Linked DNA regions of Caenorhabditis elegans. The protein of the gene in region 2 purifies or fractionates together with the protein of the main gene of each other region. This does not show direct contact. Each region holds a gene or a part of one and is shown on either strand. Other genes may lie near its edges. The genes, in order: EEED8.2, wee-1.3, mecr-1 and lec-2.

Region 1 (4,410 bases), 4.3 Mb from region 2:
TAAGGAGACGAAGAAGAATGAAATTGGTACCAAGTCTGAAAATAAGAATAGGTATATTATGTGAGCAAAGGAAAATCGCCAAAAAAACAAGATATATGCAAAATCTTCGAAAGTCAGTATGCTTCCACTTCAGCACCTTAATTTGAATATCCTTATTGATCTACTTTTCTCTGGGTTAACTATGGAAAAAATTATCGACTGACGAACAGTGGAGGTGCAATACTGATACACTGGCTGCAACAGGGTATCTCTGCTAATATCAATTAGGGCTCATGAACTTTTTGAATTGAATAATTGAATAATATTTCTTGAAAATCGGGTATGTCGATTTCAGTCATCTTCGATATGATTTGTTTCAAGAACTTTAAGGAAGTTTGCAGCCTTACCCAGTCTAGCCTAAGCCTAAGCCTAAGATGCTCGAAACAGTACAATCTTCAACGATTTTTTCGGATATTTTTTAGATGTCGTATAAAAAGCTAGGCGTGGAACCTAGAGTCCTATGCCACTACAGTGCACAATAGCAAGACAAATAACAAAACGAAAACCGAAGCACGTAAAGAAAATGTAGATCTTTCTTGTTCTAGGAGAGGTCACACCACCACACGGGGTGGGTGTTCTCACACAATCGATGCGTAGATGGCGGGACCAAGAGAACAGAGAACAGAATAAGAGCATCTGTTCGTTTTCTTTGTTTCTCTTCGTATCACACACTATTTGCTAAAGGTGGTTATTAGTTCCACGGTACCAGCCAGCCAACCCTCGAAAATTTGCGTGTGAGAGAGAGTGAACGAGAAAGATAGAGAAATGGCCAAGAAAGAAAATTGACGGATTAATTAGATTTATTAATATATATTGGAACATGAGAAGCGGTACAGTAATCTATAGAGAGGAGGCAATTAAAAAAAAAAAGTTAATAATAAATATTCTGGCTCTCCGATCCGTAGATGCTTCTTGGGTAAGCACGTGAGTCTCTCTGGTCAGGAATCTGAAAAAAATAAATAATTATTTTGGAACGAGAAACAGATTTAAAAAAAAAAGTAATATTCCAGCTTTCAGTTTGTACCTAACAATAACACAACTCTTGTTAATCTTCCAATTTGAAAAACCTCTAAAATGAAAGCTTTTTATCAATCACTTGTCAATCAGTTGTCACCCCCTCTGATTGGTCTAATGTTTTTAGAGGGAATTCAAATTGAGAGTTGGAAAACGAAGATATTCACAAACCTTCTTGAAGATTCTCTCGCAAATGACTCCATTTCTCTCCCAGATTTCTTTCATTTGTCCATCGACAACCGATCTCTCAACTCGAGAAATCACTTTTTTCTTATCATTTTCTTCTTGTGTTACAGTTAGAATCAACTTATTCTTCTCCACAGAATACAATTCTCCCAGGGAATTCGGAAAATTAAAATAATGGATTTCTTCTCTTGCACGTGGCTTCCAACTTCTTTCATGGTACGATTGAGTTTTCACTTGATGTTTGTTCACTTTAAAGTACAAACATTGATTCTTAATTATCAAAGCATGGAATTGAGATATATCTTGAGCTGCAAAGAATTCATCGAAATTGCTGATCTTGATTACTTTCCAAGTTCCACTGATTGTTCGTTGAATTGGATTCTCGTGGAGACTGAAGAATGACTCTTCTTCCTGAAAAACAAATGATAATAAAAATGTCTAGTGAAATAAGTTTTCCACAATTTTGAAAAGTTTTTAAAAAAGGCTTTTTTAAAAACGAGTTATTTCGATGTGATGTTACAATAATTTTAACTGAATTTTTATGCCAAAAAATGGATTTTTACAGTTTTGAAAATCATACAAAACTAAAAGGGATAATCGCCAAACACAATTGCTTTCACTTTTCAGAAGTTTTTGAGCTTATTTTTGAACATTTCCATTAAAAGGGGATAATTTTTAAAACAATCAGAAGTTATTCCATGCTTCTGAACTTTTACAGAATTTTTGTACAGAATTTTTTTCAGAATAGTTGGGTGAATAGTTGGTAGACGAGGGCTTTTAGAGAGGTTTTAATATTTTACTGAAAATCTGAAAGACGTATAAGATTCAAAATTGTTAGGTACTCACAAGTTTCGCAAAGATCCTTTCAATATCATATCTGCACTCTCTTTCAGAGCGATTCAAGCTTGAGCAGTCGGCTCGAATAGCTACGAGCTCTGTTGCCAGTTTCTCACTGCGTTTATCATCCTCAATAGCTCGAATTTCTTCTAGTTCCTGAAATTTTAATAATCAATAAGAATTTTTCAAGTTTTATCTAAATTTACCCCAAGTTCCGCCTGATTCTTCATCACTTTTTCCAAAGATTTCTTCATTTCGTCATTATCTTTCTTGAGTTGTTCCATCAAAGAGTATAAGTCTTTATTTTCCAAACGAAGAGATTTCAATTCATCTTGCAGATCCGATACAGTAGATACTTCTTCCAATTCCGGAGATTTTGGAGCATCACCCCTAGTCGGTTGAGTTTGAAACTTTGGAACAAGCTCGAATTCGGTATCGCTATTAGAATCCAATGACATGTTGACCCAGTAAGACTATTACCTGAAATTGTGTAAGTTAAAGAAAATCATTAGAAACATGTTTTAGGGAAGTTTTTAAGGGGAATTATGCAAATTTATTGAACAAAAAGAATTACAGAAATTAAGAAGAAGGAATGAGAAGAGACAGAGACAAGTCCACAATCTGGCATTCAATAGAAACATATAAGGCTCCTTCTCGAGGTCAACCAGTATGTCAGTATGTTTACTCGACACAAAGAATCTCGCTGTCTGCTATCTCCACAGAATCCATAATATTTCTCACTTTAAAGGGTCAATTAAGCGCCTTAGGGTTCACTCTCATCAATAGAATATGTGTAATCTGCGCGCATATCACATGTCAACCAAAAATTGAGTTGATATGATTTATAGGATTGATTTGTCATTTGTGGGTTATTTGGTTTATTGATGTACGTCTGCAGAGAGTTTTTGCACAAGCTTTTGAATACAGTAAAAATTTTTTTAACTTTTAAAAACTAGGAATGATGATAACTACTGGGATGAAAAACCAAACATGATATGCATATGTATGACACCACATATATAAATTAAAAAATAAATAAAAAGAGGAGAAAGACAATCAAATTAATGAATAGATAAAAATGACAGTCGGAGAAAACAATACAATTATTATGGCTGATAAAGATTGATAAACACTGACGACATGCGGAAATATTATGAATAAAACATGTTACATCAATTAAAAAATGATTTTTCATCACACAAAGTCGGGGTTAAAAAATCTATGTTTGGAGATTACATTCTTGTAAAATGACAATTATTTTTCCAACTTTGGTAGATTACATAGAATGACGCAAAAATTCCTGCCTGATATTCTGCCGGCCTTTGCCTTCTAGGGGCCTTCTGTGTGCCTGCAGACGTGCCTCCATTTTTATTTGTTACTTTTACAAAGAAAATAAATTGAAGTTTTTTTGGTTCAGTCATTGTCCAAAAGGTATGAACAGCAGGCAATTAACTACGCACGTTGGTAGGCAAGCAGTCTTGAAGTAGGTAAGTAGGCAGGCAGGCTTGAAGTAGGCGTGTAGGCATGTAGGCAAGTAAACATATACTGATTTTATATTTTGCTTTTATATACTCTCTGATTGATTCCAGAGAAAAAGGTTTTCAGTTGGACAACTTTTTTTGTATTTTAAAATCCAATTCCCGGACTGATCTGGGTGAAAAATTGTGGAATATTTCGGGTTACGGTAGCTTCCGATCGTGTCGAGACGGAAACGAAATTTTGTACCAAAAAATGCCAAATTCCGCGAACCAAGCAAGTAAAACATGCCTATAAAATTCTCCGCATCTGCAAATAAGTTTCAAATTTTAAATCGTCAATCGAGAAAGAAGAAATCAAAGGTTTATTGTCACGGTCAACTTGGTTGAAAATACGAATTAAAAATAACGGCGTTAAATGGAATAAAAATAGTAATATCATAAGTTGTTCAGTTAACACGCTTGTATACTCTCTTGCACCGAAAGTTCCCTCTGCTGTTGAAAACCACAAGATTTCCATTTTTGATGAGTCTCTCCACTTTCCAAACAATCGATCCGTCAGCAATCCTCTTGCAAATGGTGCTCATCATGTTTCCTTCTGCATGCGTTGAAACCGCATTGTCGTCCCTGGCAATTGGCTTATCAAACTCGAAAATTGTAGGAATCAGAGATTTTCCGAGCAAATCGGTGTGAACATGAAGTTGATTGCCGTTCATCTTGTAACAAGTAATTCCGTGCTCCCAGGCCATTTGGGTTATCTCCGGGAACTTTTCGAGAGTGAAATATTCTTGGAGATTTTCAGAGGATGCAAGTTTCCATTTCCCGATCATGGCAGTGAGGATTTGAATTGGAGCCTGAA
Region 2 (5,670 bases):
GGGATTAACATTGGTTTGGCAAGTGTTACTAGTCAAAAAATTTCAAAAATAGATTAAGAACTAGATTTTGAAAATGAGGTACAAACATCACAATTCTGTGGGAAAATTAGCAAAAATGAGGGAAATATCAAAATTGATGTTCTTTATATCAAAAATATAATGAGAAAGGTCAAAAATGAAGCGCGTCACAGTTCGAGAACAGGAATCAAGGTGGACGACTATGCATCAATTTGCATATTCATATCAAGACAGATCAGACGCCCAGAAGGCCAAACTGTGAGATTTTGAACTTGAAACAAATTGCAAAAAAAAAATTAAACAAATGCACAAAAAACGTTGCCCCGAACCAGGATCGAACTGGTGACCTCACGATCTTCAGTCGTGCGCTCTCCCAACTGAGCTATCGAGGCGGTGGTGTCTTTTTTTCAAAATGCATATAGAAGCACTTGTAATTTCTTTTTAAATTCTGAGGGTACGAGATTTTTTAATGACGGTTTTTATAGTCAAATTATTGCTGTTCTGTTGTAAGTAAAAGTTAAAACAATATATAAACTTTTGATAAAGGAAGTAGGTTTTACGATGTTTTCTATAGTTTTTTTTTTTGTTTTTTTGTGTAGTTTAAGAAGTAATTAATATTCCTATCGAAATAAATCAAAATGGCTATCAAAAGCTGTGGGAAATTTTTTTGTACTGTCCTACCTCCAGTACTACAAGAACAGGTTTTCTCTCAAGACCCTCTCGAGTTTATATTACACCAGACATATGTGTAATCGGTTGGTACCTACTTTATTCAATTCGAATAAATTTGGATTCTGTATGAAATGGAGAAATTAAAAAAATATACGTAGTTCAGATAAAATACGTTTTATCTTCAATTTCAGAAAAGAAGGACATAATGACAAGTTGTGTGTCTGTGTGATAATGGTAGTGCGATATGGTCGAGAGGGGGAAAGATTTTACAAAAAGACGTACAAAAATACCAGAAAATAAGCACCCAGAAGAAATAGTAAATAAAATTCGAGTAATGACACATTTGTGAAGAGATGGTCGTCAAGGGGGAAAAGAAATCAATCAATAACTAGTGAGAAGGACTACTGTAAACAGGCATAAAACCTAGGGGAAGTGATGATGGGATGAGAAAAAGTAAGAAAAGTACGAGATGCTAATAAATGCAAAAAATAAATATTCAACAATTTTTCTGATTTTTGTGCATTATTAAACCTCGTCGCCTGATGATCCAAATGACATCTGGAAAAAAAACATTTAATAAAAATCATTTAGCGTAAAACTACTAACCATTCTATTACGAGGCACAGGCTTAGCCCCTCTATTTAATCTTCTACGTGGCGATTCCGATTGCTCCAAAATCGTATGATGATCAACAGTCGGTTTATTCGATGGCTCGTCGAGAACGTTAAAGTTGAGAACAGGCATTCTCGGTAGATCACGAATGCTTCTTCGGATTCTTGGCGGACAAGACATTGGTGGTGGAGCCTCGTCGATCACATTATTCTGATCTGCCCAATCTAACTGTTGCTCGGTGAGTCGCATTCGGAGATATTTTTCCGTTCGTTCTTGATCACTAATTGGAATTAGAGAGTTATTACTAAATCCATCTCCAGATCCAGTGTGATGATTATAATGATTTAGCGACGATTTCGGTGCAACTGACGCGGCTACTTGACGATGACGGTTGAAAGTGAGATTACGACGAGCTGATCTTGGAGTTCCTCTGAAAAATAGCAGTTGGTAATAGAGAATCCAGAAACTTTTTGAATATTTAACAACAAAACCAACCGTTTTCCAAGTTTATCAATAACATCGTTCATTCTCGGCGGACTCTCCGGTTCATCCAATTGGGGCTCAATAGCTGAAGAGTTTGATGATGAGCAAGTCGCCTGTTCCTCATCGTCATCTTGATCGTTATCAAAGTTCAAGCGACACGGCACTGCACCAGTGAACAAACGGCGTTGCGCGTTTGGTGGATTCTCATCATCGGAAAAATCGAAAGGAGACACAATTTGAGATGCTTGGCGAACAGCCACTCCAGTAAGAGATTCCAAATAAACTTTAGAAGTCTCTGGAGTTTGGATGGGAGTGTGCTGCTGATTCTGAAAAATTCGAGTTGATAAAATTTTGGGTAAAAAAACTTATTACATTGACAAATTGCGCACAAATTTCCGATTGCCGGTCTTTAATTGCAGCATGGAAGCGAACAATAGGATGAAAGAGCACCGAGAAGAAAGCCATTACCCAGACAAGAACAGCACTGAAGGCGTAGAAAAAGCCGTTAAGCTGAAACCAGTGATTGTCAAAATCCCTCATTCACAAAACTATAACTTACAATTGAAATGCATTTTACATAGGTTCCACGCTTCATGAGCTTCTTCTTGATTACCGGATGATCAAGCAAATCTCGACTTGTTGGACGAATCCTCGGATCAGAGTCAAGCATCAAGGCAATTAAACTGCGAAGATCTGTAGAAATTCCAGCGAAGAATCTATCAGGAATCTGTCCATTTCTGATTTGATGCCACGAATCTCCATTTGATGGAACGTCAAGATCAGTAGTAGCCTCAAGAATTGTCATTCCTAGACTGAAAATGTCTGATGATTTCGTGGGACGGCCGTTCAAAACTTCTGGAGCAAGATATTTCGAGTCACCTTCTTCCGCTGATTTCACATCATTTGGCTGAAAATCGATTGAATAAAATCAGAATATTAAAAAGTATGAACTTACATTTTTAAGGTTAATAACCAAACCAAAATCTCCGAGTTTGCATATCATGTCCTTTGTAAGAAAAATGTTTTCCGGTTTAATATCATCATGAATCATGTCGTTCGAGTGCAAATGATGAACAGCTTGGAGCAAATCTACGAAAATATTCCAAATTTCGTCCTCCGGTAGTGCATGTTTCTCTGTACAATATTTCAAAAGACTTTGATCGCAAAGTTCTGTTTGAATATACAATCGACCAGTTTCCTCCCAGGCTCTGTAGAACTTGACAAGATTCTTATGCGGTGGAATGATCATATGGCTCTCAGCTTCTCGGTACTTGGAAATTGAATGTTGCCGGATCGGAGCTAACGATACTTTGACAGCATACAATTGGGAATCCTCACGGCATCTGGCTGCGAATACTTCTCCGAACGAGCCTCTTCCAATGATTTCATCGATTTGAAATACTTGTTCAAAGAATGATTGAGCATTTGTATGATCGTACTTTGGCGATTCCAGTGGTTTTGGTCCTGAAAAAATGCTTGAGATGTGTTGGGTTTATCAAAAATAATTAATGTTTAAAATAATCAACTCGACATACCCTGCGGAGTGACCAAAAGTGGGACCGACTCCTTCCGAACAGACCAAATGCTTCTTGTTGGTGGCATAGTTTTTATCATTTTCGGAGCTGGACGACGGAAACGTGGAGTAATTGCTTGGCGCTCACGTTTTGTGGAAAGTGGTGTCTCACGCATCATCATCGGGATTTGTGGTAAGCGTGGAGTGACCTGTGGAAGTGGACTTGATTGACCATTTCGAATGGAATCCATCGAGGAGTTACCCTCTGTGTCGTCCATTTTCACTGAAAATGAATAAATTAATCATACGCAGCGGAAAAAAGAAGGAAGGAAGGTCAAAGAAAATAAATAACATGTTTTATCAAAATTAATATCGACAGAAATTTTTTAAAATAGATTTTTGCGGTGCAGAGAAGATGCTAAATAGAGAGAAATCGATAATAACGTGTTTGGAACGTTTTCAACTAAAAAACCTTTTGATTTCTGAGAGTATATTGGAATTAACATTGAAATTACTATAATAAGATAATATTAGTATGAAGGAATGAATAATCAATTAGGCGGAGGCGACAAAACAGCGAGAAAACAAACAATTCTGCCAACGGCGATTGCAATTCAAAACAAGCGCGCGAAAGAGGAGAAGACACATTGTGCAAACACCGTGGCGCTCAAATGCAGACTAGACAGGGGAAAACAGCGGGATATTCAAAAAATAATTTTAAATATGGTGTTCAACCGGAATGACCAATTTTGCCGAAGAAAGGGTTCAATATTAAACTGTAGTGGGTCTTCTATGAGCGATATGAGACAATTTATCTGCTAGATATGTTTTGTAGTTTGTAGTCTAGCAGACCCAAAGAAAAATAGTGTTTTTTTAAAATTTCAATAATAATAATGTGAATTACATCACGTTAAACAAAATTTCAGTAGCTTGGATCTGTCGGACTATTTACATACTACAAACCGGTTTAGCAGATGAAAACTTTTAAGACTCTCCGATACGGCCTGTCAATTCAAGAGCAATCATCTACCTAAACACCGCAGAAAGTCAGATATACAGCATTGAAAGTAGAACAAAGGGAAATAAAACAGGAAAATTTTATAAAACAGGAAAATTTAAGAGTTAAAATTTATTTTACCAATAGAATTTTCATATTTAATAAAAAAGTGGGTGCAATAAGCAATCAAACCAGCGAATAGATTTTAAAAATTACACATATTTGCAATGGTTGGGGTTTAAAGAAATATTATAATACATGGTTTTAAATTAAAATGGGATATTTGACAAATGAATTTAAAAATTATTTTCTTGAATTTCTGATGTTGAACTAGAAATTGGTGGGCTCTCGCTTGACTGAAATTGGATTATTGCGGATTGTGCTGAATCGTTTTCTCATGGTACAAAAAAATCTGACCTCTTTGAACAACTTTTTGATCGATGAATCGTTCAGTGCGCGGATCAAAGCAGCATGGTCATTGAGGGCATCATTGAGCGTTGGTGTTGGATACGGGATGACTCCTCTGTCGTTCATTCTGAAAAATAGCAATGATTTTATAATTTAGATGAGAAAAATCAATTACTGTGAAGCCATTGCCACTGCTTTGGCCAAATCAAGAGGATCCAGCTTGTACCAGAAGAACTCTTGTTTGCGCTCCTTTATTTTCTTGCAATCGAAAACATCAATCCAGTTCTCGTCGTTGATTTTTTTCCAAAATTTTTGCGGAATCCTTTGGGGAAACGGTGAACGCGACGGCCGATCGACTTTCATTTGCGACGCTTTGAGCGATTGGATCCGAGAAGATAAACTCTTTTATCCTAAAATAAATGTTGTAATTATTTCATTTTTAAACCAAATATTCACCCCAAGAAACGAAGAATTCTCGTCGCTCGCTGCACCACATGTTTGTCCCTGATGTTCAGCATCATGAAGTGACTCGCCATCTGAAATTTAAGTTTGTAATTCCAATTTGGACACTTAAAGAATTGCCAAGTCTGGCCGCTTTGCCGGATTCGCATTATCGGCATTTTCGTGAGTGATTTGGCGTTTCCTTCCTCGATTCACAGCTGGGAAAGTTTGCGCTGATTGCAGATTTTCAGATTGTTGAATATTCCGAGGGAAGGACGCAAGTTCTTGGCGATCCAATTTTGTATCGAGTAGATTCTCAGATCGTGGAATATTTGGATTGGATTTCGACGCCTCACGTTCCGATTTCACATTAACATTCGCATTCTCCGAACTGATTGTACCAGGAGCCGAGATAGGCCTAATGAGCGAATCATGAATCGAAGCATCCGTTGGTTCGACTTTCATAGAAGCTTTTCCGCTCTTTAAAGAGCTCTTACTCGACCCAATGTACACAACGTCGTCGTCT
Region 3 (3,961 bases), 3.5 Mb from region 2:
GATTGCGACCGGGATCCCCGGATGGTTCAAGGATGTGAGTATAAAATTCTGTAAGGATATTCTAGTTTATTTTTTTTACAGGAGATCATGCCACGTGCGATGGAACTGGCAAAAGTCAAATCGTATACTGCTCACTACGATAATCACGGAGTCTTCCTCGATACCTTCTCGATGACAACAGATCTTATCGAGGACGAGAAAAAGATCAAGGATCGCATCATCGACTCTATCAGAGCTCAGGTGCCATCTTATATGCCTGTAAGACTTGTTTTTTTTACAAAATGTTTCAGAAAAATAGAGTGAAGCTTAGGGCTGTCATGGGGGACGAAGGGGGACGTCCCCCTCGATTTTTGAGCTTTTTCCGGCGTCCCTTTTGTAGAAAGCTGAAGCACCACTATCAAATCGAAGCAACATTCATCAGATTAATCCAATTTCATGTTGGGGCTCCAGTTTACTACAAAAGGGACGGCGGAAAAAGCTCTCAAAATTGAGGAGGACGTTCCCCTTCGTCCCCTTTAACAACCCTAGTGAAACTTGAAAAGAATTTGAGTCCTCATTTTTCATTTCAAAATGTTCGATATTTTTTCAGATGATCAAATTGGTGGTCAGCAAAGCGTCTATCTAATTCTTGGAACCCCCCCGTGCTGCTGATAATGACTTTGACTTTTCTTTCAAATTACCTCTCCTACTATTCCCCTTTTTTCTGAAAGATTTTCACATCCCGAATTTAAATTAAATCCCTTACTTTCATCCATCAGTTCAGTTTATTGTCAGTTCACGTTCTTATTTCATAAATTTTGTAATTGAGTATAATCTGAAAAATGGCGCAATTGCATCTCGGCCATCACAATTTTCAGAAACACGCCATTGAGGACCTATTCGGGCAAAAAACTGTTTTTATTTGGAAAAAAAGCATGATCAATCTTCACATCACATTAAATTGTAGCAATGATACCCGATTACGGAGCGAGTTATTCCAAAACGAAGAATTGCTTCTTGTCGAATTTGCTCAGCGCAGTATCGAGAGCTTTTGCATGATCTTCCAATCGATTCTTCACAATCTCCTGCTTCTTGATCTCTCCACTCTTCATCCAACCGGCAAGCTCCTGGTACATCTCATGCCGCTTTTCCGGGGATTTCTGAATATCGTACCATCTTGACATCCAGAATCCGCGAAGCGAGATATCCTTGAAGATCAGTGGCCCGGTTGGACAATCGACAGGCTGCTTGCTCATTCCACCGTAGGTCACCATACATCCTCCGTGGTCCAGGAGACTCGCCAAAAACAGGGAGCTTCTGCCTCCAACGCAGTTTAATGCTAACTTGACTCCTGGGAATTTCTTCTTTCGACTATACAACTCTTCCTGTGTGATAACTTCGTCGGCGCCCAAATCTTTCAGCTCTTTCACCAATTCTTCCAGATTATCGCGACTTCTCACAACATTCACAGTTTTGATGCCAAGGATCCGGCAAATTTGAATAACGTGCTTCCCGACAGCCGAATTGGCTCCGTTTTGAGCCACTGTGTCTCCTTTTTTCAGGTCGATAAAGTCTTTAAGCATACGATAAGCTGTGGGAGGATTCACCTGTAAAAAAAACAAATTCTGATTATTCCACTGCTCCCTAGCTTTATAGATCATACCTGGAATGTTGCAGCATACTCCATGGAAAGAGTATTATCAATCGGAAAAAGATCATTTTCCTGGTGGAGCCCGAGCTCTCTCCATGTTCCTAGGCCAGATCTGTCGGGAATTACATGGTCTCCAACTTTAATCGAGCTCACATTGGATCCAACACTAATCACTTTCCCAAATCCTTCATTTCCACCAACCGCCGGTAAAGCTGGCTTCACAGGGTACACACCTGAAATATACTTCAAATAATTATTTTTTCAGATTTTGGAGCTATAAAAACCTACCTTGAATCTGATTCAAGTCTGCCGGGTTGATTGGAGCTGCTATCCATTGAACCAGGACCTGATCCGCAGACGGCTTGTCCGCAATTGTGACAGTTTTCAATTGTATTGCCTGAAATTAAATGCAAATAAAATTAAAAGCAAATTCGCGTTTTCTCTCACCTCGGGAGGGTTTCTATATCCTTCATAGACTAGTTGTCTTGTCGAGGCAGCTCTCTGGAGCGCAGATCGTAGACTGAGAACTTTTAACATCCGGAATTCGCACAGTTTACACAGATTTTCTTATTTTTTAATAGAAAATATAGAAATAAACGGTTGTAGATTTACGATAAACAACACGCGTAGGCGTTATTTTGGAGTATCGTTGTCTATTTTTTTCTGCGTCTCTTGTTTACCACACACTCTTTTTTTTTTTTCAAAACAACGATTTTCGCGATTTTTTCGCAATTTTTCCCAAATTTTTCCAATTTTCATCCGCTTTTCAAGTTTTTTTCAACTTCCTTGACTGAAAAAAAACTGTTTTTCATCGATTTTTTACTCATTTGTTAGGTTTTCGTCGTGTTTTTTTTCGATAATTGCCCGATTTTTGTCCCACGGCGCTTTTTCTAATCAATTTCCTCCCATTATTTTTGTGAAAGATGCCAAGTAAAAACCTAAAAAGACAAATCTTTCCTTTTGTCGATATTGTTAAACAGTTGCAAGGTTGAAACGAAAGCGAAGACGACCTTCACGGGACTTTTTTCATTTTCCCTGTTGAAAACGGATCATTTTCAGTCTTTCCCGAACAAAAATCGGCAAAATGTGATAATTTCGAGATGTTAAGGACAGAAAATTGCTCAAAATTACTTTAAAATCAGATTTCTCGCGATTTTTTCGCTCATTTTTTGCAGTTTTAGACTGGAAAAATCGTACATTTTACATAGTTTTGTGCTTTTTGCACATTTTCGGCAATTTTTTCCTATAGTTTCAATTTTGAGTCGATTTTCCGCTATTTTTCATGCGAAAATTTCACTTTTCTTGCCCGAAAAATTCAAATTTAGCGGGATTTTTCGAAATAAAATATCGAAAACCCACTAAATTTTTGCTTTAAAACATGCCGATTGGGTCACAATAACCGAATATCATGATAAAAAATTCAAAAAAAATTTTCTAGATTTTATATGATTTTTTGAAAATTGGAAAAATCTCAGTTTTTCCCCTAATTCCTATTTGAATTACCGCCAATTGGATTTGTTCGATGGAGCGCGCTTGCATTATTTTATTTATTGTTATTTTTCTTATTTTTCACTGATTCTCCATGTTTTCAGTGTATTTTTATTTGAAATTTGATGAAAAAGTCAAGATAAATGCAAATTTTTGATTAAAAAGCTAATTTACAAGCATAAATCTGTGAAATTGATTAATTCAGGTTCCAATCGTGCATTTCTTGGTTTTTAATCGAAAATTTGCATTTATTTTGACTTTTTCTTTGAAATTCAAGCAAAAATCTACTGAAAACATGGAAAATCGGTGGAAAATAAGACAAAATAAAATAGATAAATTTAAAAACGTGCAAGCGCGCTCCATCGAACAAATTTGGCAAAAACCGAGATTTTTCCAATTTTCAAAAAATCATATAAAATCTAGAAACATTTTTTGAATTTTTTAATCATAATATTCGGTCATTGTGACCCCATAGGCATGTTTTAAAGAAATTTCCCTGGGTCAGAATCAAGGGTGTCAATGTCCCGTAAAAATTACAAAAACGGGAAAACGGGAATTCCCGTTCCCGTGAAAATTTCAAAAACGGGACAACGGGAATTCCCGTTTTTTTGAAAACACTCAAAAAACGGGACAAACTGGGCGGTTTAAAAAAAAGAGTGCATAGTTGGCGTAAATTTTAGTGTATTCGAGGCAAATTATAAAAAAAACTGCATTATAAACATTTTTATCGATTTTTTCAATGTTAAACAGATATTTAAAAAGCCAAAAAATGAGGGAAAATGTCCCGTTCCCGTGAAAGTTTTAAAAACGGGACAAGGGGAATTCCCGTTCCCGTGAAAATTT
Region 4 (8,421 bases), 300 kb from region 2:
CAGGTGTTGGAGAGAAAAAGGTTATAATATATTGAAAGGCAAATATGGAAAAGAGCAGGTGCCAAGTAAGGAATCGAAGTAAGAATGATGTTTCGGGAAGTTGGTTGGGAGCGGGTGTTCAGGGTAGATAGAAGTATCTAAGGCCTGGGTAGGCGCAAAAAGGCCTACCAGACTGACAGAGGCATGGTATAGCTGAAGACTCTTGATCCATCACGATTAAAATCGAGAAATGAATAACATTGCGGTAAAATGGATCCCTTGAACAAGATTCACAACATGTTGTGTTCTCTTAAACTCAAGAAAAGACTTTTCATGTATTCAGATCTGTACGAAATTCAAGAACAGTTTGTATTTTTAGCTCTTTACTCCCCTCCACATCCTTCTCACGAACTCTCCTGTCATATTACTTTGTGAAACTTTCTTTCAAATTTCAAGAAAAAAGTGGCTCTTCTCTCATGTCGTCCTCCTCATTTTCACTTTAAGCTTTTTTTTTCTCCCATTTCATTACCACCACATGTTCATCATCATCACCCACTCTTCTCATCTTTGGCCCGCTTCAAACCAAGCACATCTTGAAATCCGAGGCGTCGAAACAACGATGTAAACTAAACTATTTCATGAGAATGTTTCCGCCTTTTTTCACCCATTTCATGCTGCAAACTTTTTTTTTCTAAAAACGAAACATGTGGTGTGTTCAGTTCTGTCATAACCCCCATTGAAAAGTGAAATCAGAGAGAAAATGGATAAGAGAAGATAGGAAGTGTTCAGGTTGTCCTGTGGAATGCATACAGAAATTTATAAATAAATACTGGCACAGTCACATGACAGATGGGTAAATAGTTAGTATAAGTTAAGTCTCGCGGGTTCTTGATCAAATGAGTATCATTTGATTTGATGATCCAACATTATGAATCAATTTTTCCGAAAGTCCTACCGTATTCGCTCACTATTTCATGAAAGCAAAACCCAAGAAAAGTCATGGAAGACAAAAGTAAGTCTGAAGTAAAACTTTCTTTAAACCTTCTAATATTGACAGTGCAACTTTATCAAGTTCTAATTACATTTACCTTCATTTTATTTGTATTAGTGTTCAATTGTTAGAGGGGAGAGCTCCTGACTGACGAAAGGTCAACATTAGAGTAGTGGCGGCCGATGGGTGGGCGCCTATAGGAGCATCTGATAATTGTTTGTACGGACCGTCGATTGTGTAACTTCGGATCATACGACGTGTGTGTGACTCCCTCCTGCAAAAGTTCGGAATGTAAAAATTAATAGGCAAAAAACCACATGAGCATGTGATTTGGCATCCAATTTTATTGACATCAGGAGGGGGAAGACCACGAACCTCTTATCACCCCGGAAGCCAGCACCAGCTGATTGCGTCGTGTAAACATTCAAAATTTGAAAATGACACATCAAAATACGAGTGCATTCGATTCAAACAATACATAGATCAATAGACATTTCCCTTGTTCAAGATCATGTAACATATATAATCCTTTCCGTTGAGAGCCCCGTTCTTCAGGAAACACCGGAAATACATGATTTACATGAAGGGGGATTTAGACTTGCCAGCAGGAAATGCGGATAAAAAATTGGGGATAAACGATGCCACGGCATAAAAAATTGAGGAGACATTGTATACCTAGATTTTGAATTGAATTCTTCTATATCCAGATATCCAGACCTAATTCACGATGAGCTTCTTTTCATGAGTAGCTCTCTCTAATTTTGTGCACTAACTCTCATTCTTTTTGAAGAAAATTCAGATTTCATTGTTACACCATTATGCAAATCAAGTGTACATTCAAATCAGAAATTTCATAGTTTCCCCTTCTTTTCTCTCTATCATACGAACGACTAACAAATGTTCCGGAATATTTTGCAACGAATATTTTCTTCTTCAAATTCTAGAGTTCTTATGGTGAGTCTGACGTGCGTCACTTGGACACCTGAAAAATCAGCAGGCTCTCTTACCAAATCTCCAAATCTGGTGGGTTGCATTGCACTCTTTCTGTTTGCCGCACATCGGCTTCCCCCGGGCTTCACCTCCTTTCTCTTCTATCTCTCTGTATCTCTACCCATATCAGTTTCGTCTAGCTGTATCTTGTTGTCTCACACTATTTCCCGAATTGCCAGCCGTTTTTTTGCAGACGGCACACGCGTGCGCGGCGCCCCGTGTTTCTTTTTTTGTGCCCCCAGTTCATTTGGCAGAAACGAATGGAACGACAAATGAAGAGAGGGGAAGATAGAGGCGTCCTCAGGCAGCAGCGCGGTGCGCGTGCAGATCAGTCAATACTCGTACACCTGTATGCGTCTCTTTGGCGCGGCGCCTCAAAACCTCTCAAACCCTTCCGAACCTACGCCACGCCCATCCTAGGCCACTCCCATCATCACAATGTTGAAATAGTGCTGGCTCGAGAGAGACGAGTAGAGAACGAGAGTGCCTCCTTCGTTGAGATTGGCCTGGTGTGCACTTTCAGACTCATTCCGACACACTCCAAGCCTGCAAAGAGGTGTGTGTCTTGTATTTCCCTGCTATTTTCTACAACCTCTTCTCATTTCGTTGACTTTTTGTGCTAATCATGGCCGATTCGTCATCATTCTTCTCATCGGCCTTCAGCTCAGCGAAGAATCTTATTCCGTTCGCTAAGAACACAGAGGATAAGCCTGTCGATGCCGACACTGCTTCCGATGCTAAGGATGCCAAAGATTCAGCTATTCAAGAAGCCGTTCAAAATGCTTCAGCTGCTATCAATGACGTCTTCACCGATGCTGTTGATAAGCTGGAAGAGGTGAAGGATACCGTAGTTGAGCAATTTTCCAACGGTGATGAGAAGAAGGAAGAAGCTGTTGTTGAAGAGAAGTTTGATTCTGTTCATGTTGGAGTTGATGGAGAGACTGCTGTACAGGAAGCTAAAGAAGAAGTCAAGGAGGCTCAAGTTGTTGTCAAGGGTGTTTTGGCTGATGGAACTCAGATTGTCGAAGGTGTTACTGATGTCGCTGGTGAGTCGGATTTATTGAATATTCCAAATTCTGATCCTATTACTGTTTCAGAAGCTCCAGTAGCTGATGAAAAAAAGGAAGAGACTGTAGCAGCTCCTCTTGATTCTGCAGCTCCAGTTGAAGAACATAAGGAGGAATCTCACTCTTCTGAGCACACTGAAGCACCAGCTCACACTGAAGATTCAATTGTTCAAGCTGACCCAGAAGCTCGTATCGTTTTCCAAGGAGTTCTTGCAGATGGCACTCAAATTATTGAAGCTGTCTCGGCCAACCCACCTTGTATTCAAGAAGAATCTGCTCCAGCTGCAGCTGTATCTGAAGAGGTTGGCGAAGCTGTACATGTTGTTCCAGTTGATCAAGCACCAGAAGCACCCACATCGGAAGCACAGGACGCTGCTCCAATCGAGGAACATGTTGAAGTTGTGCACGTGGCTGAAAATGCATCAACACCAGCTGCTACGGATGCTCACGAGGAGACAAAATCAGCTGAGGAGCAAACACCAGTTGTTGATGCTTCTCCAGCTCAGGAGATAGTGAAGGTTGAGGAGCATGAACACAAGGAAGAAGCTGCTCCAGATGAGTCAGCTCCAGAAGCCGCTCATGATTCACATGTCGAGGAGACCGCCGCTCAAGTCGTCGATGAAGTCATCGAGGCTGTTCATGTTTCTGCTAATGAATCGGCTCCAGAAGAGCATAAAGAAGAAGTAGCCGCTGCAGCTACTTCTGAAGATCAGAAAGAACCAGCTCCAGCCTCCGACGAACATACTTCTGAATCAGCAGTAGAAGGAGCCATTGAATCCGTCCACATTGCATTGACCGAATCTGCTCCAGTTGCATCCGATGAAAACACAACTGAAGCTGCACCGGGAACTGTTGAAGAGCACAAGAACGAGGTTCATGATCCAGTTGATGGAGCTTCATCCGATGCTCCAGCTGAGGACCACAGAGAGGCTGCTGCATCATCTGAGTCTGTAGAGGAACCAATCACAGCTGTCCATGTAGAAGCAACTGAATCTGCTGCTCCAGCTGACAAAGTTCATGAAGAAACCAAAATTGATTCTGCTGCTGAGACTCATGCCGATGCTCCAGTTGTTGACGCTTCTCCAGCAGAAGATCAAGCTTCGGAAGTTACTGAAGCTCCTCATGTAGAATCAGCTAAGTCTGCACCAGCAACATCCGAAGATCACAAGGAAGATGTCGCACAAGCCACGTCTGAACAAGTTGAAACTCAAGCTCCAGCCGATGAACACAAAGATGACGCATCCCCTGCTGAGCCAACAACAGTGCAAGATGTTATTGAAGCCATTCCCATTGTCTCTACAGAATCGACACCTGCGGAACATTCCGCCCCAGCCGAATCAGCTCCTGCTCTAGCTGAAGAACACAAGGATGAAGCAGCTCCATCTGAGCCAGTTCAGGATGTTCCAGTTGAAGAGGTCATTGAAGCTGTTCACATTGCTCCAGCAGAATCAGCACCGGCTTCAGTTGAAGAAGCCGCACCATCAGAATCGACTCAAGCTCCAGTTGAAGAACACAAGGACGCTACCACAGCAGCCGATTCATCTCACGAAGAGCCAAAAGCCGAATCTGATGCTCCAGCTGCAGAGTCTGTAGAAACTGCTCCAGTCGAGGAACATAAAGATGAAGCATCACCAACGGCGCTAGAATCAGTTGAAGATGTTATTGAAGCTGTTCACGTAGCCTCTACAGAATCAGCACCAGCTCCAGTTGAAGATGCCGCATCAGCTGACTCGACTCAAGCTCCAGTTGAAGAACAAAAGGATACTGCCGCAGCAGCTGAACCATCTCACGAGGAAGCACAAGCAGATCATGCTGCATCCGTTGAAGATGTTATTGAAGCTGTTCATATCGCTTCAAATGAATCAGCACCAACAACAGAAGCAGCTCCATCTGAATCTATACAAGCTGAAGATCATAAAGACGAAGCTGCTTCCACAGCCGAACCAGCCCACGAAGAATCCGTTACAGTAGTTGAGGCATCACATAAGGAACCACAAGCAGAGTCTGCCGCACCAGTTGAAGAAAATATTGAATCCGTTCACGTAGCCTCCGAAGAATCTGCACCAGCCCCATCCGGAGATGCCGCCCCATCAGAATCAGCACCAGTATCAGAAAATCCAGTAGAAGAAGTTGCCGTAGCTTATCACGTTGAATCAATTGAATCCGTCCCAACCGACGCCCAATCAGTAGAAGAACCAGTTGTTCAACAACACGTAGGAACAGTAGAAGCTGCACCAGAAGCAGCAGTCGACGAGGAATCATTCGACGTCGTGCATGTTCACAGTGACGCCGCACATCCCGAGACGGCTACACCAGAATCTGGAAGCGAGGAGACATTCGAAAAAGTCGAGCATTCACAAGTGCAAGAGGCACCTTCTTCTGAAGAGCATAACTCTTCAGAGCCTGAAATTGTGGAAGACGTTGTCGAGAAGCAAATCGTCGCCGCAGTTGCTTCAGCTCCAGTAAGTTGTTTTTTCCCATTTTTGACTATTGAATCTATTTGAACTTACCGAACTTTTCTTCTTCCATTAAAAAAAGTTTATCTCTCATTACTTTTCTATTTTTTCTTTTTTCGAAACCCGCTTCCTCCATCTGTCATTAGTTTAGCTTTGAAGTGTTGTGTATGTGTTTGCAGCTTTCAAACACTGAAAACACCTGACTTTTTCAAAATTTCACTCAACCTGCTGCCCTCTTGACATCCTTGACATCACATAGTTATGAGTGGGAGGAACAGCTTTCTTGCATCATCTATCATAAGAGTTCAGGGGTCATTGTTTCATACATCGAACATCATCACTTCAGATGAATCACACACAAACTACCAATTTGTCGCCCTTTTACGAAATTTGTCGGTTGATTCAATTTCACTCGAAACTATAGGTAATTGTAGAGGCGAATTTAGTGAAAGAGGGTGGGAAGGCTTGAAACCGGTCCAAATTTCACCTGCATACATATAGTGTGCGAGAGGGCTTCGGTTGCGGGCACGTCAAAAATCTGTTTACTTTTTTCAAAAAATTGCCTCGGACTTTGCAGAGTTCAAATGCATAACCTGAAGTTTTTTAGGATTTTAATGTTGCATCCAACTTTAAAGCTTAAAAGCTTAACTTTAAAATTTTAAAAGACCATAAGTCAGTTCATTTTAAAGATATCAATAAAAGACTAATTACAAAACGATAGAAAAAGAAATAAAAAATATTTTGCCAGTTGACTATTTTTGAAAAAAAAAAATTGGAACAACAGGCTGCAATAAACTATTCTGTAGAGTTCCTCCCTGGTTTGATACTTGATATTTTAAGGCTATATGTTGGCCATCTTACTTTTTCCGATAAATTTTCAGATTTCTAGATCGATCAGAATTGTATCGTTGTTGTTTTTTAGATGAAATTGTTTTGTTTTTCTGTCGCTTTTACTCTCTTTCTCTCAAATAACAACATAGGCTATTCTTCGCGGTGTGAAAAGAACCGAATGATGTTGGCACGCCCAAAGCCGATATCATTCACGCGTATGGGTATCTGCCATCATCTCTCTCCCTCTCAAACAATTCTCGTTTCAATTGACAAATCGAAAAGATACAGTTTATTGTCTTTTTTCGGAAATTGAACCTAGTTTTGCGTAGAAATGTGTAATAGTGTAGTAGGATTGCTGTGTCTAGTTCATGTGTTTCAGTAAATTTAATAATAAAATTGAAAATTTCGAACAACAAAAGACACATCAAAAATGAGTCACTTTTTGTTTTTTTCCCACATTTGATGTCTGCCTGCTATCTCTTTTCCTATCCAAGTGATAAAAATTCGAAAGATACACAATTTTTCTTTCAATCTTTTTCGTCTCCTTCGGAATTTTCTCTACGGTTAAAAAGCGGAAAACGATGGGTCCCATTCTCCATTTCCATTTCAATTTCCTGTGTTCTTTTTTCTGCCAATTCCATTCCATTTTCGTTCGAAATTTGAAGAATGGATTCAATTGAACTGAAGAAAAACGATGAAGAGAATGGGCGAAAAAAGCTAATTTAGTTTTGCAAACTTTTCTTTTCCAATTTTTCAATTCACTTCCAAATATTTCTACTGTATCTGACTTGACTTTAATCCATAATTTTTTATAATTTCAGGAAACTCAACCGGAAGAATCACCGAAAAAACCAAGAAAACTTGCTGAAATGGCCCATGAGTCCGCATTCGTAAGTTTTATTTTTTAGATCTGATCTTTTTCTTCTTCTTTTTTCATTCTATCTGTCAACACTTTTGCCCAATTTATCTCAATTTTTAATTGGCTTTCTTTTCCTTTTTTATCTCAAGTCATAAAAAAACGGGCGGGATACAAATTCGTGTTTGTTAGTTGTTGCGAAGACGACGACAAATATTTTTCCTGTCAAGGTCAATATCACCTTGATAAACATTTTTGGGTGATGTTGATCGTGAAAACCCAGAATTTCGTGAAAAAATGACGGATTGAAAACGTAAATTGATAGTGATAAATTGAGTAACAAGGACGAATTTCAGCCAGTTCCATACCGTAGCAAGCTCGTCGAGCCATTTGAGCCAGGACAGACACTTATTGTGAAGGGAAAGACTGGAGAGGATTCCATCCGGTAAGTATGAAGAACCATCTTATTTATTCACAATAAAAAAATATATGTGAACTGATAAAATATTCAGCTTCACCGTCAACCTTCACACCAACACCGCCGATTTCTCCGGAAACGACGTTCCACTCCACGTTTCCGTTCGTTTCGACGAAGGAAAACTTGTCTTCAACACCTTCTCCAAGGGAGAATGGGGCAAAGAAGAGCGCAAATCGAACCCATACAAGAAGGGAGACGACATTGACATCCGCATCCGCGCCCATGACTCCAAGTTCCAGATCTTTGTTGATCAGAAGGAGGTGAAGGAGTACGAGCATCGTGTGCCACTCTCCTCCATCACACACTTCACTATCGACGGAGATGTTCTTGTCAACTACATTCACTGGGGAGGAAAGTACTATGTAAGTAAAAATAGATGAATTATACTCAGTAACTCATACTAAACTAATTTCAGCCAGTTCCATATGAGAGTGGGCTCGCCGGAGAGGGACTTGCCCCAGGCAAGACTCTTACTGTCTTTGGAATTCCAGAGAAGAAGGCCAAGAGATTCCACATCAATCTTCTCAAGAAGAACGGAGATATTGCTCTTCATCTTAACGCTCGTTTCGATGAGAAGGTATATCAATGATTTGAAGATCCGTGTAATACTCTAAAATTTCAGCACGTCGTTCGCAACTCGTTGATCAACTCCGCTTGGGGAAATGAGGAGCGTGAAGGAAAAATGCCATTTGAGAAGGCTGTTGGATTTGATTTGGAGATCCATAACGAGCCATACGCATTCGCTGTAAGTTATTTTTCAAATTAGATGTAGA

The links.
Region 1: the proteins of wee-1.3 (region 2) and EEED8.2 fractionate together in Caenorhabditis elegans (co-fractionation; one large-scale study listed by BioGRID). This does not show direct contact.
Region 3: the proteins of wee-1.3 (region 2) and mecr-1 fractionate together in Caenorhabditis elegans (co-fractionation; one large-scale study listed by BioGRID). This does not show direct contact.
Region 4: the proteins of wee-1.3 (region 2) and lec-2 fractionate together in Caenorhabditis elegans (co-fractionation; one large-scale study listed by BioGRID). This does not show direct contact.

Annotation. Positions count from the first base shown.
Region 1 is NC_003280.10:5,414,860-5,419,269, reverse strand, and holds EEED8.2 (lipocalin/fatty-acid binding family protein), read right to left. Parts: upstream 2,557-4,410; 5' UTR 2,535-2,556; coding exon 2,283-2,534; intron 2,233-2,282; coding exon 2,086-2,232; intron 1,651-2,085; coding exon 1,225-1,650; intron 986-1,224; coding exon 911-985; 3' UTR 825-910; downstream 1-824. Other genes in the region: EEED8.3 (lipocalin/fatty-acid binding family protein), read right to left, coding at 4,001-4,405.
Region 2 is NC_003280.10:9,712,887-9,718,556, forward strand, and holds wee-1.3 (Membrane-associated tyrosine- and threonine-specific cdc2-inhibitory kinase wee-1.3), read right to left. Parts: upstream 3,582-5,670; 5' UTR 3,577-3,581; coding exon 3,321-3,576; intron 3,250-3,320; coding exon 2,741-3,249; intron 2,693-2,740; coding exon 2,345-2,692; intron 2,296-2,344; coding exon 2,158-2,295; intron 2,112-2,157; coding exon 1,798-2,111; intron 1,733-1,797; coding exon 1,297-1,732; intron 1,249-1,296; coding exon 1,216-1,248; 3' UTR 851-1,215; downstream 1-850. Other genes in the region: Y53C12A.6 (uncharacterized protein), read right to left, coding at 4,592-4,651, 4,713-4,830, 4,879-4,889; Y53C12A.11 (PRE_C2HC domain-containing protein), read right to left, coding at 4,978-5,113, 5,160-5,239, 5,286-5,670. UniProt on the Caenorhabditis elegans protein: Acts as a negative regulator of entry into mitosis (G2 to M transition) by phosphorylation of the CDK1 kinase during oocyte maturation.
Region 3 is NC_003280.10:13,185,107-13,189,067, forward strand, and holds mecr-1 (Enoyl-[acyl-carrier-protein] reductase, mitochondrial), read right to left. Parts: upstream 2,209-3,961; 5' UTR 2,168-2,208; coding exon 2,078-2,167; intron 2,028-2,077; coding exon 1,919-2,027; intron 1,864-1,918; coding exon 1,643-1,863; intron 1,587-1,642; coding exon 972-1,586; 3' UTR 881-971; downstream 1-880. Other genes in the region: W09H1.4 (DUF1902 domain-containing protein), read left to right, coding at 1-34, 82-258, 590-625.
Region 4 is NC_003280.10:10,010,048-10,018,468, reverse strand, and holds the start of lec-2 (32 kDa GBP), read left to right. Parts: upstream 1-2,285; 5' UTR 2,286-2,585; coding exon 2,586-3,006; intron 3,007-3,057; coding exon 3,058-5,489; intron 5,490-7,135; coding exon 7,136-7,204; intron 7,205-7,526; coding exon 7,527-7,615; intron 7,616-7,682; coding exon 7,683-8,010; intron 8,011-8,063; coding exon 8,064-8,225; intron 8,226-8,270; coding exon 8,271-8,393; intron 8,394-8,421.